Linked DNA regions of Oreochromis niloticus. The protein of the gene in region 1 interacts with the protein of each later gene in a pairwise test. Links are inferred from orthologs where the notes say so. Each region holds a gene or a part of one and is shown in the gene's direction. Other genes may lie near its edges.

Region 1 (7,923 bases):
ACTGTATAAAGTTCTTCTTGTCTTTTGCACAGACTAACCTGACTCTAGGCTGTGAAATTTAAGTGATCCATGTTTCCTCAGTATCGGGTATCTAAGACCTGAGGCGGCAAAACGGCCCTAAACCATGATAATATTTCCATCAAGTATTTTCAGCTGCTTCCTTATTTCCCAGGGGGCTGCCACAGCAGATGGACCCACATGTTTCATTTGGCACAAATGGCACACTGCATCCACTGCCTGATACAACCTTTCCATTTATCTGGGACGGCCACTGTGCAAGGTTTGACCACCAGAGACTGGTTTCTCCCAGTCTCAAACCAGTTTCATGTGTAAGTGAACATGTTAACCACTACAACATGACTGATTGATAATTATGACATACAGAGAGATCAGACCACATGTTGAGTATTCAACACAGAAATCCTGGGAGTATCAAATGTTACCATAAAACTGCAGTCATTTTAATGTTTTTCCCTTTGACTGACATTCATCCTCACATCTTACAAATAATAAGGTCCAATTCAGTCATTTAAAATGTTAACAAAGCAACCTTTACAATGTGCTCTACCCGTGGACACAAAGTGACATCAGACACAGGTGAGAGCTAAACACACTGCTGATACAACACAACAGGACTCTGAATGAACTTACTGTGACATGAAGGCTTTTTGGTTTTTATTGTTACTTTGTCACATCCTGGCTGTCATTCCATTTTTAAAAAGACTGTTGTCATCGAGCATTTTTGAATTTGTGAAACTTGAAGGGAACGTTGTTTCACAGTGTTGTGCAAACCCAGCATCCCCTGGACAACCTTTAAAATAATTACAGCTGACAAATAGATCAGTTTGATGGTCAAGCAATTGTCTAAAACTGCATTATCAGATATTAGTCATACATTAGTCTGCACTGACTAAATCTATGAATATCTGAGCACTAAAACACAATCCTGGAAGACGTGGCTGTGTTTACTATGACACAGTGTGTGAAAATAACTGAAATACTGTTTATAAGTACAAAGGAAACTGCTCAGTTGGATTTTACTGCAGTGCTTAAATGGTCTTTACAGTCTTTTCAGTTCTTTGACATAGCACTGCGTTATTCCTAAAACCTGCCCTCTGAGGTCAAAATCTGCCTACAGGATGGTAGACTGAAGCAGTTCTGCTCCTCTATGAGAATGATAGTTCAAATGAAAGGATTTACAGCACTGGTCCTTGACGTCATAGATCGTCATATAAAAAACATGTAACCACACAGTGGTTTTCATTCATGTAGAAACTTCAAATACTAGAAAAAGAAAGTCAAATTGTCTTGAGGGGTAGATGTTAAGACATGGAGTGTTACTGGATCTTTAATTATAACGATTTTGAATTGTTCACTATTAAAAGGTGGTTTCTTTAAATTCTTTGATCAAAAGGATGACTTCTCACAGAATGGGCTGATGTGGTTGATGCTTGGTCAGAAGCAGTAAAGGCAGGCAGCGAGTAGTAACTCTGCCTCAGATGGACAGTTCCAGGTGCGTAAATCAGCCTACACACAGGGCGCATTTAAAACCTCGTTCTCAGTCAGCGTGATGTTGTTCAGATGAGCATCAGATCTCAGCTGTTCGCATGAACAAGAAGCGTTCCAGTCATATATATCAAACACAGGTGATGCATTATAGTCCATGTTAGCTGTTGGTTCTCTTGACATTTGGAGTGAAAGATGCTTAAAGATCTCAATAAATGGATAAGAGCTCAGCTTGTGCCAGCTTGTAAACACACACTGAAGCATCACGGTTTAGGATTGTAGACCGCACAGTAACTATGTGACAACATGAACTCGTGCTGCTGGCAGACTTACGTGGCCAGACATATTCATCTGTAATTCTTGGTTTCATTCAGGAATCATTCATGTCTTACTGAAACTGAATGCATTGATGGTGTGGAACATAGCTGGCAGTTGGCTCCATGTTTGTGTCCAGTATGAAGGAAGCGCCGTACACCCCATGGCGTACTGGTTCCAGTTACAGTGGTGATGTGTAGACAGAGAAACACTGAGCGATTACTTTTGATGCGAGTTTGACGGCACTTCTCGTGGCTGTGGGGTTAGGGTACGTCACCACTCGTCACTTTGACTTTGTGCTTTGGACAGAATTTCTCTGAGGTTTTGTGTTTTCGTTGGAATAAAGATTTCTTCTTCATGGACATGTTTCCGATAATGGGGGAAATGTATGTATTTTGAATAATGCCTGTGTATTTGTGACCTTGACTACATTGACATATCCAAACCATATTAGGTTGTATGTTACTCTGTCACCAAAGTTTGGGCCACAGCAAACTGACAGGTGGGAAAGTGTTCCCATCCCACACAGAATCTACTAAACAAGCATTTAGTCTTGTTTAAACTGCTGTTCCCAAGGTCAGTAATGATGGTTCATGCTCATCACTGTGGCTTCTGTTGTAAATGAGACAGTATATATAGAGAGTTTCATATTTCTTGCAGCTGGATATGAATTATTTTTCGTTTTGGTTAAAGTCTTTTTTTAAACCCTGGCATCAAACAGTTACAGTAAAGAGTGACAAGTCTGTTTCATGTTTGTTGCTTTCACCACTTCCACGAGCGTCAGTCACACCTGCACCTGAAGGTGAATAGATCAGATTTAGTGCGATAGCGTCAACACATTCTTGTATAGTTTGACTCCATGTACCTGTGTCCATGCCCTGCCTGCAGTGGTCTGACAGTCACTGCCATAAACAAATCTTATTTCATCCAGTGAACCTGTTTGGACACCTGATCCCCTTTGAAGAGCTACTGGGCTGCGCACTCTACAGAAAATGTGAATTTCACAGAAATTGAGTCGTCACTTCCCTTCCACCACATAGGTTAGCATTTCCACACATGTGGTGACTCGTCTGATGCCTGTATAACCCAATAGTGTTATAATTTACCTCACTTTTCTTCTTTGAGCTCCAAAATTCTGAAAATAATGACACAAAGTTCCCTGTCTCCTTTGTGAGTGACCAGAGATGAACACGAATGGAAACCATATTTTTGTAGGTTGTGTGAAATGTGGAACTGAATTCTGAATGTTCCCAACCTTTATGGAAGTTTGCTCTTTGGATCTTGTGAATGTTTGTGGTTTTACAAGAGATGTTAGCAAGCCGCTATTTTTATTAGCACTTTTTGTAAATGGGATGCGTTTATTTCCTGCAGCATCGAGTCTTTTATTACAAATGTATAGATTCTATATTTAGCTCTTTTAGAGAACAATAACATGTAAATACAATATAAATGTTTTATTTTTGCAGGTACAATTTTTGACAGTGTTTTTCCTATAAAGTGTCATTTTTGCTTTACTTGCACAATTGCTCTGTGTTTCTCATTGAGGGCTCTTGCTTTGCAGCTTTGTTTGGACTTAATTGGTCTCCTTTGACCGTTGGTACGCTGGTTTAAGTCAGAATGCACCGTAGTGAAGCTGAAACGAAGCTACTTAATAATATCACTGTGTCACAGAGTGTTTAGATGTCCAAAAATAAGATGTGTCCAATAGCTCCATGAGTGTGTCCTCTTCTGTCATTTTTACACCTCGGTGTGATACATTACTTGATTTCCTCGTGGTCGCTGTCTGAAAGCTGCAGCTAGCTACACATGTGATGTATAACTCTTATGGACTGTACGACAGATTCCAGGTACAGAGAAGCAATAACAGTGGATCAAAGCTGATTACAAGTATTTTAGAGAGAGTGTGTGTGTGTGTGTGTGTGTGTGTGTGTGCGCGTGTGTGCGTGCGCTCTGTCCTGGTACGTGCTGAGGCAGGAGATGCTCTTCAATGAGAGGCACAGACCTTTAGCAATTCAAACTTCTTTATAAGCTTCAATGGTACCAGTGAACTTTATTGAATGTTATGAAAAAACACTGCAATATATTTTGGTATTGGATCAAGCTGCTAACATACTTCTAAAGCTCCTTAAGGTGCTACAGACCTCCTTACTATCTCTTCAGACGTATCGTTTGTACAAAGTATCCCGTGTAGCTGAACAGTTGGTATGTGTGTGCCTAGTTGTACTTTATAGCTTCATATATTTTCTTGTACTGTGACTTTTGTAGTCTTTGCCTTTAATATAGCCCCACCACCACCCCGCCCACGCTCACCTGCGTGTGAGCGTCCACAGACTGAGTCGTGTTGGGAGGTTACGCTGATGCTGGGAAACTGATAGCAGTGTAAATGAGCTGCATCCAGCCACATTTAAAAAGACCATCCTGTGACGATGATCGACTCGTTGCAAATTCTTAATGTTCTTCATATTTTACTTTACTTTTTTTTACTTTTACATTTATCTTACAAACTACTGTTGTATTTTTATAGGCAAAGTATCACCTAAACACACAAATACATATACAGCTCACACTCGTCTGTGTGTGTTTATAGGTTGTGTAAAATAAATGTTAATCCTGCAGCTTTGACATCATCCAAAGAAGCAGATTATTTATTGCCTGGCAGAATAACCTGATTTCATTCACATATGTTGCTGCTATAATAGAAGAGCTGCAGTTGACAACTCCAATGTTTTATTCAATGTAATAAAAGAAATCAAACAGAGAAGAATCCAGCTCGTCTGTTTTCAACGTGTCACTCTGAGAACTTTGTTACTGTTACACACTGAAACACTGTTACACTGTGTAACTCACTGTAACTCTTAACATTGTTTTCACTGCTTCTCTGAAACACTCCTGAAGATGCAAAAATCCACTTTAACACTTTGATCTTCACTCTATAACATGAGGTCTTCATCATAATGGTGTGATCTTTGTGTAAAAATGGGCTCGCCTTACAATGTCAACAAAAACTGGTGACTATCAGCAGTAGTTGTGTTTTACTTTAAATCCCCATCATATTAGCACAGCTTCAGTATGCTGTGCTTTTAAAGTAGAGAGCTTTGGAAACCACTCGTCTGTGATGGGATGGGCCCAGTCGTTTAGGACTTTCTACATGAGAAGAATGGTTCAAACACAGGAAAAGACATCAGCTTTAGTAATGTCTCCTTTAATTAAACATGAATTTGAACCACTGACATTAAGGAATTTAAGGTGCTGTAATATTTTAGCCTTTACTAAAGTCTAAATCCACACTCATGGCTGTATTCTAAACTGATGTATATTTGATATCACTGTTCTTAACAGTCATCATCCTCCTAAAATCAGGGTCACGGGGGGGCTGGGGTCTATCACATGGCTTTAGCTTGCTAGTAAGAAATGTATTCAAATCAAAGCTTTAAGCTTTTTAATACGTTTCCTTTTCTTACAACATGAAAAATCTCTCTCACCCATGAAAATGACAAAATACCTCGTACTCTGAAGGTTTGTGTGTGACAGACATGCAGCAGATTTCATAATCAGCTGTGTGCATTGTGTCACTGCCTACAGTGCAGTACAGAGATTTCAGACAGATCTTTTCCCATCAGACTGGTTCCAGTAGCTTGCATTAAAACACAGTAATGAACAGTTACATGTTTTCCTTTGTTACCAGTGAGCAGGCTGTTAGAAAGTGAGCATCTGTTTTTGCATGCTGGAAAAGTCAGAGAGAGTGAAACAGACAGGCTGTGAGCTCCACGCTCCTCGGTGGAGCTCCCTCCCCCAGTCTCACACTCAGTCCACCCTGACAGTTCAGGGAGGGCTCTCCATCCGCAGCTTTAAACACTGCGCACACATTACCAGCTCACACGGCTCGCCATGACGTATATATGACCGTAGATGTTGTTATGCTTACTATCCCAGATGTTGTTCACACAAAGCCGTCCTTTTACCCGGCTCTGCCCTGTTGTATAGAGTAAACTGAGTTGAACCATCGGCATGAACCCAGTGAACCCAAACAGAAGCATTACATCCTCCAGAACAGTAGGCGGCAGTGCGGAGCGCGTAAAAGCCTCAGCTGAGCGCAGAGTAGCTGTTCGGCGTGCAGAGCAGTATGGTCCACAGCGTGCCATGCCTTCTCCCATCCCGCTGACCCGTCTGCTGCCCAAAGACTTCTGCCCCTCTCTGGACACGGGGCCCTGCAGCAGCCCGCTGACTAAGCACGGCTCCACCCTACAAGTGCCCGCTCAGCGGCTCCATGGCAGAGTCGCCACTCGGCTTTGGTCCTCGGTTATCCACTGGAAGCAGCTGCGCTCCGTGCAGCCCGTGGGCTCGGGAGGCTTCGGCTCGGTCTACAAGGCGGAGTACTTCGGAGAGACCGTGGCGGTGAAGAAGGTCAACAGGTCAACCAAGAACAAGCTGGCGTCCCAGCAGAGCTTCTGGGCCGAGCTGAACGCGGCGCACCTGCGCCACGCGAACATAGTGCGCGTAATAGCTGCCACCACCTGCGTCCCGCCACAGTGTGGAGATGAAGGCAGCATCGGGGTTATACTGATGGAGTTCGTGGGCAGAAGGAACCTCCAGCAGGTCATTTACGGTGGCACGGAGCCGCTGGGACAGGACAGGTGCGTCAGGTACTCCTCGGACATCGTTCACGGCCTGAGGTTTCTCCACTCCCACGGCGTCGTGCATCTGGACATTAAACCAGCTAACGTGCTGCTAACCAGCCAGGACGTGTGCAAAATAGCAGATTTCGGCTGTTCGCTCAAACTGGACCCTGGCTGTGAGGTCAGCGCTGCGAGCCACCAGCCACTCGTGGGTGGCACGTACACGCACAGAGCCCCTGAGCTGCTCAGAGGCGAGAGGGTGACTCCTAAAGCGGACATCTTTTCTTTCGGCATCACTCTGTGGCAGCTTCTCACCAGAGAGCCGCCCTACACCGGCGACAGGGAGCACGTCATCTACGCGGTGGTGGCTCACAATCTGCGGCCTTCTGTTCAGGACCACCAGGTGTTCGGGTCGGAGCCGGGGCGGCTGTTTCGGGCTCTGCTGAGCCGCTGCTGGAACGGAACGCCCCCCTGCAGACCCAGCGCCCAGGAGCTGCTGTCGTCCCTGGAGCAGCTGCAGCCGCAGACCTGATTTGATCGTCGAAGCTACGCACAGGTGTGTGGACAGCTGTGGGTTTGAATATGTTCACCTTCAGGAAACGAGTACTGTGCGTTAGGCCAGGTCAAAGCTGAGGAAACCATGGAAGTGCCTTTCTGCAGACGCACATGGAAACGCTGGCTGTCTCTGACTACATGTCAATCATGTTTTTACTGTGCAAATAATAAGTGTGCGTAGTCCTCAGATTGTAGCATTAAAATAAGCTGGTTTTAGTTGTTTCTGTGCTGCTGTCGGGTCGGTCCTGTGGGACCAGGACACTGTTTTTGATATTTCAGTCAGCTTCTACAAGATCTTCCTCTCAGACCACTGAACGTCCTGATCCAACTGACACTGTTTCCAAATGTTTCTGAAATGTGTTGTGAATCAAAGTGTGTGTAATGTGATATTTGGGTGTGATGGGTTTCATTAAAATTCTTTTTTATGCCACGTTTGTCTGGTGTTCACATCATTAGAGGGCATCAGCTCGTCGGAGGCTTGGCATCGACACAGATTCCACCAAACTGAAGACTGAAGCAGTGAAATGAGCCGTGGGCCACTGCTGACACTGTCGTCTCATTGGAGGACACTTTAGTGTTCAAGTAGTACGTTTCAAATGTTGTGTAGCAAGACTAAACACATTGGTCCTGTCTGTCTGACACGTGGCAGCACTGCTGCTGTCATTGTGTTCGTATTTAACAAAAACACTGCATTAGATTTCTTCACATCAGTGTACAGGCCGGAGGTAAGGCTGAGGTGGGCTGCGAGTTTGAGACCCTGGACTAAATGGACTGAACATCTATGGCACTCATCACTTTTTACTACCAGCCTCATTCACCCAATCACAGGTTTCTTTTCCGGTGCCTATCAGCACACACAGCTCAGCTGATGCCCCGGGGCCAACACGAGGTTCGGTACCAAAGATACTTTGACCCACAGACCCACTCTAAT
Region 2 (8,037 bases), on another chromosome or scaffold:
TGTTTGAGGTCACTGCACGGTCCTGCTTTAGTATGTCACTATATTGTTTTTTCCTAATAAAAATCTTTGATTGCTCCTGCACAGGCACCGAAACACTGTCAAGTATTTGTTAGCTTCTTTTTTTATGCCTGACTATATAAAAGTGACCAAAAACATTCTGCAACATGCAGCTCTCCTTTAGCGGGAGTCATTATCGTCCCTGCATCGGAATTAACTTCTGAAGTCATGCAGCTGTTGCTGAAGGTCACTAAGAGATGATGTCATAGGATCCTTCAGGAAATATGTCTACTGGGGGGTAGACACTACTGGGGGAGTGATAGATCGTATAGATGGAAAGGCAACTATTCTTGTCTGCTAGATTATAATTAACTCTAAAAGAAAAAGATAAAGCTATCCAATCTGTAGCCTCACATAAACACACTGATACACACACTTTATCGCTGCTGAAGGTAAAAATGTTAAGTGTGTTCAAGCGCCTCCTTTGCCTTTATCAGTATCTCCTGACCCAATAATCCAACTCTGTCGTCATTCAAGCGAAGCAAGGACAAGCTATTTATCTCCAGCCAATGTACACACACACGTACACACACAGCTCAAGTGAGCATCATGAAAGAGGGGGTTTGAACAGCTGCTTCACCAGTCTGGACCATGGGGCATGCCTGTCATTCACCATATGTCGCCCACATACCCGAAATAAAACCTTGCAGGAAAATCACCCACATTCTTACACAAATGGGGGAAAGACAGATGCTACTATTATGGATAAACCACACACAGGCACAGACATGCAAAAGTAGAATTAATTAAAAAGGAAAGAAAATGTGTGTGTTTGTGTGTGTGTGCCTGTATTTTTTTATGTGACCAAGAGGTCGTCCTTTTTCCATGCTCAGCTTCCAGCTCCTCTTCGATGAGCTATTCTGATCCTCTGGTCCTCTCCATTCCCAATTGGGCTTATCTGAGGCATGTCCAACCACAGATAAACACACCAACAGACTGAAGCACACACTCATCACTGATCAACCTCCCATCAAAATCCCTTTTCCACTTGAAAGTCTTTAATGAACAGAAGCACATTTCCGAATCAGACGTTTTGGCTGCTCGTGGATGAATGATGGACTTTCAGTGTGAGCGAGTCCACATTCCTGCTTTCCAGAATAGCTTTTCCCATTAGAGAGCACATTCTGGACTGTCATCAAATATAAACAGAGATGCAAAAAGCCTTTAGAGAAACCCAGCCAGAAAAAAAAAATCTCTTAGGCTTAAAGATGGATTAATGTGTCACACAAATATGTGACAGTGAAAAATATGAAGCAAGTTCATTACCTGTTGTAGGTGTGTTCACAATAGCCGGACGTGTACTCATATACATGGATGACATATGAACCTGTTTCAAAGAAATCCAAGGATGGAACTCGAGTCAAACCCCAAACATGTGTTCACGCTGCTCACTGACCCACTAATTCCCTCAAAACAGGTGAGGCACAAAGTGAACTGGGCCACAGCCAAACGAGTGTCAGGAACAGTGGCCAGAATTCCCTTTCCCTCTGTCAAGTATTGTAATGCAATTATTACATTTTTTAAAACTAGTTTTGTTTCTTTGTGTTGTTTTAACTCAAGCAAAACAGTTTGTAAAATGACTAGAAGCAAAAGGAAAATGCATATTTCAATAAAGTTTTTACAGTCATTCATAGAGACGGGTAATCCTCTTTCCCCAAAAACCAGTTTGGAGCCAGGAAAAATCCTGAACTGTCAAAACTGTGTGAACTTGAAGGGACATTACTTTTGCTCAGAAGTTTATATTAGATCACACTCTAATTAAAATCATTTTTAAATGAATTTGCCCATCAAGGAAGTCATTCTTGCCTTTCTAGGCAAGAACAAGTAAATGTAAAATAGAAAGTATATAGTTTAGTTTCTGGATTTGCTCACTTTAGTTTATCTCCTTATTTATTAAAATATTATGTTAGATTTCATTTTTATACTGGAGTTTTTTTGTTTGTTTGTTTGTTTGTTTGTTTGTTTTTTGTTTATTATGTCACAGTAATGCTATTTTTTAGAGGCAAAGTTTCATATTTTCCAAAAAATACAAACATTGACTCACAATCACAATCAATTCATGGTAGTTGTATTGACGAACTTCACTAAATCGATAAAGGCTGAAATGTAAGATGTTAGTTTTGTAAGTACACAGAATAGTTTTAGTTTGTTTTGTTTAGATTTTGTGTTAATTCCAGTTAACTGAAATGTATTTTTGCTTCTAGTTCTAGTTCAGTTTTAATTAATTAGAATAACATAATTACTGACAAAAATACAGCACATTGAAACAGTTTCAAGCATGACTTAATTTAGGTGTTCAAATTCCTAAAAACACCTACAAGAACCAGAAAGTAAAATCTCTAGTGACTCTACTGCAGCTGATTCATTTATTCGTATTTCAGGTCAGATTACAGACCACAAGACTCGCTGAGGCCTGAGCCTACAGTTAACAGCTGCAATCTCCATCAAATCGTCTACTCACATTACTACCTTGGCAGCAGACTTAACTACAACATACTGCATGCATACACATATATCAGATCTACTGTACCTTGGCCACCTGTAGAGGTTTTTGCTGCTCAGCTCCTCCCTGGAGTCTGAAACCCCACGGGGCTCCTCCTGAGAGAGACACCACAATCTCCTCAGCTACCATTCCTGCTCTCAGCTCACAGCCTGCTGTGTGCCTGTGTGGTGGTGTATATGCTGCTCTCCCCTTCTTCAGTTCCTCACACTCTGTGAGTATCAATAGGTATCTCACTGCTTTCCGTCACTCCACCCATGAGGAGACAGAGGGTGGCTGGCTTTCATCTGCTCAGGCTGGAATGCTGTGTCAGAGGGTGGGAGCTCAGCAGGGTGAGAAGGGGCAAAAGTGTGTAGCGTGCTTGTGTGTATGTGTGTGTGCATTCGTCCTGACTTGGATTCAACACTTGCCATGTCACTCTCCAGCACCCTGTCCTGCAAGGGGCACTTACTGATATATCCTCCAGAAATAACCATCAGCACCACTCCCTCTTCAACCCCCCCCAGCTCAGCAAGCCTGACCAGCACCCGCAGCACATGGACTAGTCTTCTTAATGGGTGACTATCCAATCTGACAGTTTCAGAGTGGGTGCTAAAGGGACTTCTGGCTCTGAGGAAGTAGAAGTTTGGTGCTGTCGCACTTTGTGAAAACTGTTACAGAACAAAATGCATTATTCCAATAAATGAGGAGCTTGGCTGATGTATTAAAGCTTAATCACATCAGACGTCGCTAAAGGAAGGCACACGATTAAAGAATTTGTACTTGGCTACCTGATCAAAATTGCAAACCCATTTGAGATGATTAAAAAGAGAAATTGTCCTGCATTTTGCAAGCTCAAAATGTGGACAGATTTGGCAGTTCTACAGTGTATTGGCTTCTTCTGGCTTACATTTAGAGGCGCTGGAAGTCGGCCGCATCATATTCAGATGGCTTCCTCATATCACATTGTGATTATTTGATGAATAGCCAACACTCCTAACCAAGCAAGATAAAAACAGCACCCCTGAAAAGAGTAGCATGGGCTATCAGGAGAACTTTTTGGTGTATGTTCTGTATGTTCTGTATGGTCTGTTGTTAGCCAGAATGCTCAAAATGCTACAGAGGACAGGCATTTAAAAACTGATGGATTGGGGGTTTGTCGTATTACATTTTTTGAGGTTTTTACTGAGATCTTTATCTATTTTTTTTCTTTTTTATTTACTGGCTGTACCACAGCGAAGATGATTTACACCAAATGGCATTCCTGATGTATCCAAGCTTCAGACTTGTACAAGGAGTACAGTGGCTCTTGGCAAGAGGGAAATGGAAGGTTTACAAGATGGTAGTGAAACCTGCTACATTATATGGTTTGGACTGAAAAAAGACAGAAGGCAGAGCTCCTACGGATACAACAATACCATTACTATGTACATTTATAGCTACTTTTACTTTCTAAGTAGGTAAAATACTTATTCCACCAAAGAGGAAAAAGAATACTCAATATAAATAGATTCTGAAACTCTTTTTCAGTGCAACATTTTGCATTGCAACTCTTTTGCAGCACCTATGTTAGCACATAATATAGGTGCTATAGTTCCATAATACAGCGTCTATATCAGGGAAAGGGTTTTCTACACTAGTTTAAAGATTTGCCAGATGCCAGATGCCAGATGTAACCCCATGGGATAAAACTTCATTTTATTTTATTTTATTTATTTATTGGTATTATTGTAATGAAAATTCAGTTATTCCTAATGATAAGATATTGTCATGTATGTTGCGGGTCCTAAGGACAAATTTTATGTGGAAACATGTAAATGAAAATGAAATATACATTTATATTTTTAAATATTTTTCCACTACATACAAATTTTTATTGTATTTTATTGTAAAATTGAGACTGAATAAACTCCTCAGGAAGGTTAAGTCAGTTGTCGGCATGAAACTCACCACCCTGGAGGAGATGGTCGGTGACAGAATTCTGGAAATCATATGTATTAGTACTTATGTCTTGCTATATTTATATTGATATCTTTATTTCTTTTTCTCTGTTATATCTCTATTTCTGCATTGGATTTATTGTGTGTTGTATGTATACTGCTGTGACATCTGAAGTTCCCTCTGATCTGACCTTATCTGAAAAAACTGCTCAAAAGTGCCTCTTTTTTTTAGTAAGGGTTGATTACGCTGACCCCAGCAATACCCTTCCTCCACTGGTTTTTGGTCCCCTCTGTGCCACCACAAATATCATGAAACATCCCCTGTTTAATAACTTTTATTAATAACTATCAATGCTTTGATTAAAAAGACTGGCATTTTACATGTTAAATAGTTGGTTGCCGATACCGTATTCCAATTACACCGCTGCCTTCTCAAACTCCCGAAGAGAAGGTGAAAAAACAAACCCCAATTCTTACAATGAAACCAAAACTCTTAACAGAGCAGCCTGAACAGCTTCCAGCAACCACTGCTGCGCTCTCTCGGAGGAAGTCGCTTTGCGGAGTCCGGATGTGGACGTGGCACAGCGCTGCAGCAGTTCCGCTGAATGTCCGCTTCTGATACCGAGAAGGGATTAGTGAGCAACACCCCGGGACGACATCGGCGTCTTAGTTTGTCGGCCACCGGGCTTCACAATTTGCATCAAATCTAGGACAGCCTTACTATTTACATCACTTTGGAGGTAGGTTTAGGTTTTGATACGGTTTCTTTTTTGCCATCCCCGCCCGGCTTCACTGGGGATCTTGGATTTCGCTACGTTTGCTAATGCTTGGCTAATGCTAAGGCACTGCTAGCACCGCTCTGAGGAAAAGCTAGGAGATTACGAGCTAACTTAGCATTTAGCATTTGGTCACAGCTGATGTGCTGTCATGATTCAGGCTGTGTGGTTGCTAACGTTAGCATGCTGGGGTAGCTGGAGTCTGGTTAAATAAGGAACGTGTCCTGCTTTGACCCCTACTTAGAGTCAGAACAGTTACCTGTATAATAAGAGAGGCAAGTTGTTTTTGACTCTTGGTTGACATGTTGTCTGGCTAATGTTAGCATTGCTAGCGAGCTAATTGTAATGCGGCGGCATTACTACTCGCCAGATTTCACACTTCCCTCCTACAAAACAGTCTTTTCCCTACCTGGCACGTGTTTTTTATTCTCAAACACCCTGTTTCTGTGTGAGTTTTAAAAAGTTCTCCGATGTTTGGATAAAATTACTAGCCCAAACCTTTAGCAGTGCACCTTGGAATTGATGTTGGTCACTCTGTAGGCCCGACGTAGTAAAAGAACAGTTACGGTTCCAGCGATTGTTTCTGGCTGTGGCACCTGCACTGCTGAATTATTCAATGGCCCCGCTCGTTTAGCTCGTGTTTGTCTGTCAGACGATACTGATCACTCATGTCTTATATTTTAGGCCTGTCTCCAGGAAAAAAGTGAATAAAAACACCACTCACCCACATCTGTTAGCAGGGTTAAAGTTGACATGTGTTGGAGTTATGCTCATAAAGGTGATTTTCCTAATTCAGCATTTAGTTTCTTCTCACTGCCTTAATTAGTTTTTATTTTATGTTATTGTCGATTTATGATTGACTTAGTTTGCACGCTTGCCCTGCTCTTCTCATTTGAGATATTTTTAGTGTAGTTTTCATCACTTTAAGTATTAGATTTTATAAGTTGTTTAGGAAAGTCATGGCAAGACAACATTGACTTTCTATCATGCAGATAGCCCAGTATAGCAACAAAAGTTGCTTACATGCATTTTATTGGCTTATTTACCAGCTTGACAACGTCTAAAACCCATTTCTTAGATGGTTATTTTAGTTTTCTAACTATACAATCTTTAGCTCTTAAGCTTCTTTCACAAGAAACTTAAGATATAACTAGTCATAACTATGTTTTTCATCCTTTTAGTTGTCTACAATACACTTTCTCTATAATTACTTGTAAAACCTATACTCAGGTATTATCTGATACTATCTTTAAAGCTGCCAAAGAGTTGCATAATAATTTTGCATTTTGTGTCATTTTAACAATAAGTCTTTGATATTAATGTTTGTTTACTTTCTTTTGGTTGTAATCTTTTTATTTAATGTTATTTAATTTTTGTAGCACATTGTGTAAAATTTAAAAGGCTGAGGGTGTGGCCAAGTCAAACATAAAAAGCCAATAAAGGTGTTGTCACTGAACCAGGAAATGTTAATGTCATAAGTCAGTGGGATTTATGTCAGACTATAGACATTTACAGAGTTTAGAGTCCTGCGGGGCAAAGCTCTTCTGTGTCAGTTTGCCTGTTTTTTAGTTCAGGTGCTTGGTGCCAAAAACTTCATTTGGGATCCATTATGTTTTATGTGGATGTTAAGATCTTGCTTGTTATTTTAGTTAGACTTACTGGTTAAACTGCTTTGGAAAAAACTTTTTCTTAAACAGGACAGTTGTCAGTAAATGTTATAACAGTATGTGCAAGCACTGCTGTGTGGGCAGATTCTCCCTGCTCCTTGAACGAGCCTGTGTCTTTGTTTCAGAGAAACACAATACTTTCACAACAGCCTTTATCAGTACTGGCCTTATTTCAGGGGCTTTCACACTACAGGTGCCCTGGTTGTATTATTGTTCACACACAGAAAACAGGCTAAACAAGTTTAATCCTTAATTATGACATCTAAGTAACTAACTGTATTGTTATTTCAAAATTTCATCCAGATTTAGGGATGAACTGAGGATGAATGTAAACCAGCACACGCCAATGGCCTCTCCATATGGCCAGCCCCAGCCTGGTTATGGCCAGCCTGGTTACGCTCCCCTGGATGGGAGCTATCCAGCACCCTACGCACCCTACAATGGCCCTGCGTCAGCCTATCAGCCTGGGGCTCCACCGCAAGGTAAAGTGCAGTTTGTTTAAAAAAATGTGCGCATGAGTGAGACATCCAGCAGTTCAGGTAGGCTGTACTTTAAGCATTCAGAGGGATATAACCTTGGAGTGTCCTACATGCCTCCTGCCATGTGAATGATCATGTATGTGTGAGCAAAGCACAGCACCTGAGCATACTAATCGGATTTTCAGCTGCCCTCTCCTTCCTTCATTTTGCTTCATGCACTTCTCTTCATCTTCTTGTATTTGCCTCCTTCCCCTCTTCTCTTCTATTTCAGGTTACTCTCCTTTCACAAGCTTTCCCTCTAAGGCTTTGGCAGCCAACCCAGTCTCTGACCTCCCCTCTCCTCTTGACTTAGGTAACCAGCTCATCTCTGTTTCTCACTCATTTCACACTTCATATGCCCTGCAATCATCAAATCCTCTCTGTACCTGCAGGTATTATTCTTCCTGCTGTGTCATTTTTCTCAGCATATAATTGAACATCTTTCTGAGACTAATGCCAGTGACGTTCCAAGTACAGCAGCCGACTACACACTAACCTTTGTGTAGGCCAGAAATATACATTATATCTCTGTTATGTGAGAGACATAAATTTAGACTTTGAATCCACTGGTCATTATTTCTTTTGCTTTTGATTTGTTGC

The links.
Region 2: the proteins of mos (region 1) and sec24c interact in binary tests that used the Homo sapiens proteins (3 or more experiments, as listed by UniProt). The two-hybrid records come from large-scale screens. The link is inferred for Oreochromis niloticus from reciprocal best matches to the Homo sapiens genes MOS and SEC24C.

The regions. Positions count from the first base shown.
Region 1 is NC_031974.2:34,870,265-34,878,187, forward strand, and holds mos (proto-oncogene serine/threonine-protein kinase mos), read left to right. Parts: upstream 1-5,025; 5' UTR 5,026-5,829; coding exon 5,830-6,969; 3' UTR 6,970-7,422; downstream 7,423-7,923.
Region 2 is NC_031973.2:10,125,589-10,133,625, reverse strand, and holds the start of sec24c (protein transport protein Sec24C), read left to right. Parts: upstream 1-5,030; 5' UTR 5,031-5,216; intron 5,217-7,222; 5' UTR 7,223-7,241; coding exon 7,242-7,401; intron 7,402-7,669; coding exon 7,670-7,750; intron 7,751-8,037. Other genes in the region: synaptopodin 2-like protein, read right to left, coding at 2,588-2,689. UniProt on the Homo sapiens protein: Component of the coat protein complex II (COPII) which promotes the formation of transport vesicles from the endoplasmic reticulum (ER).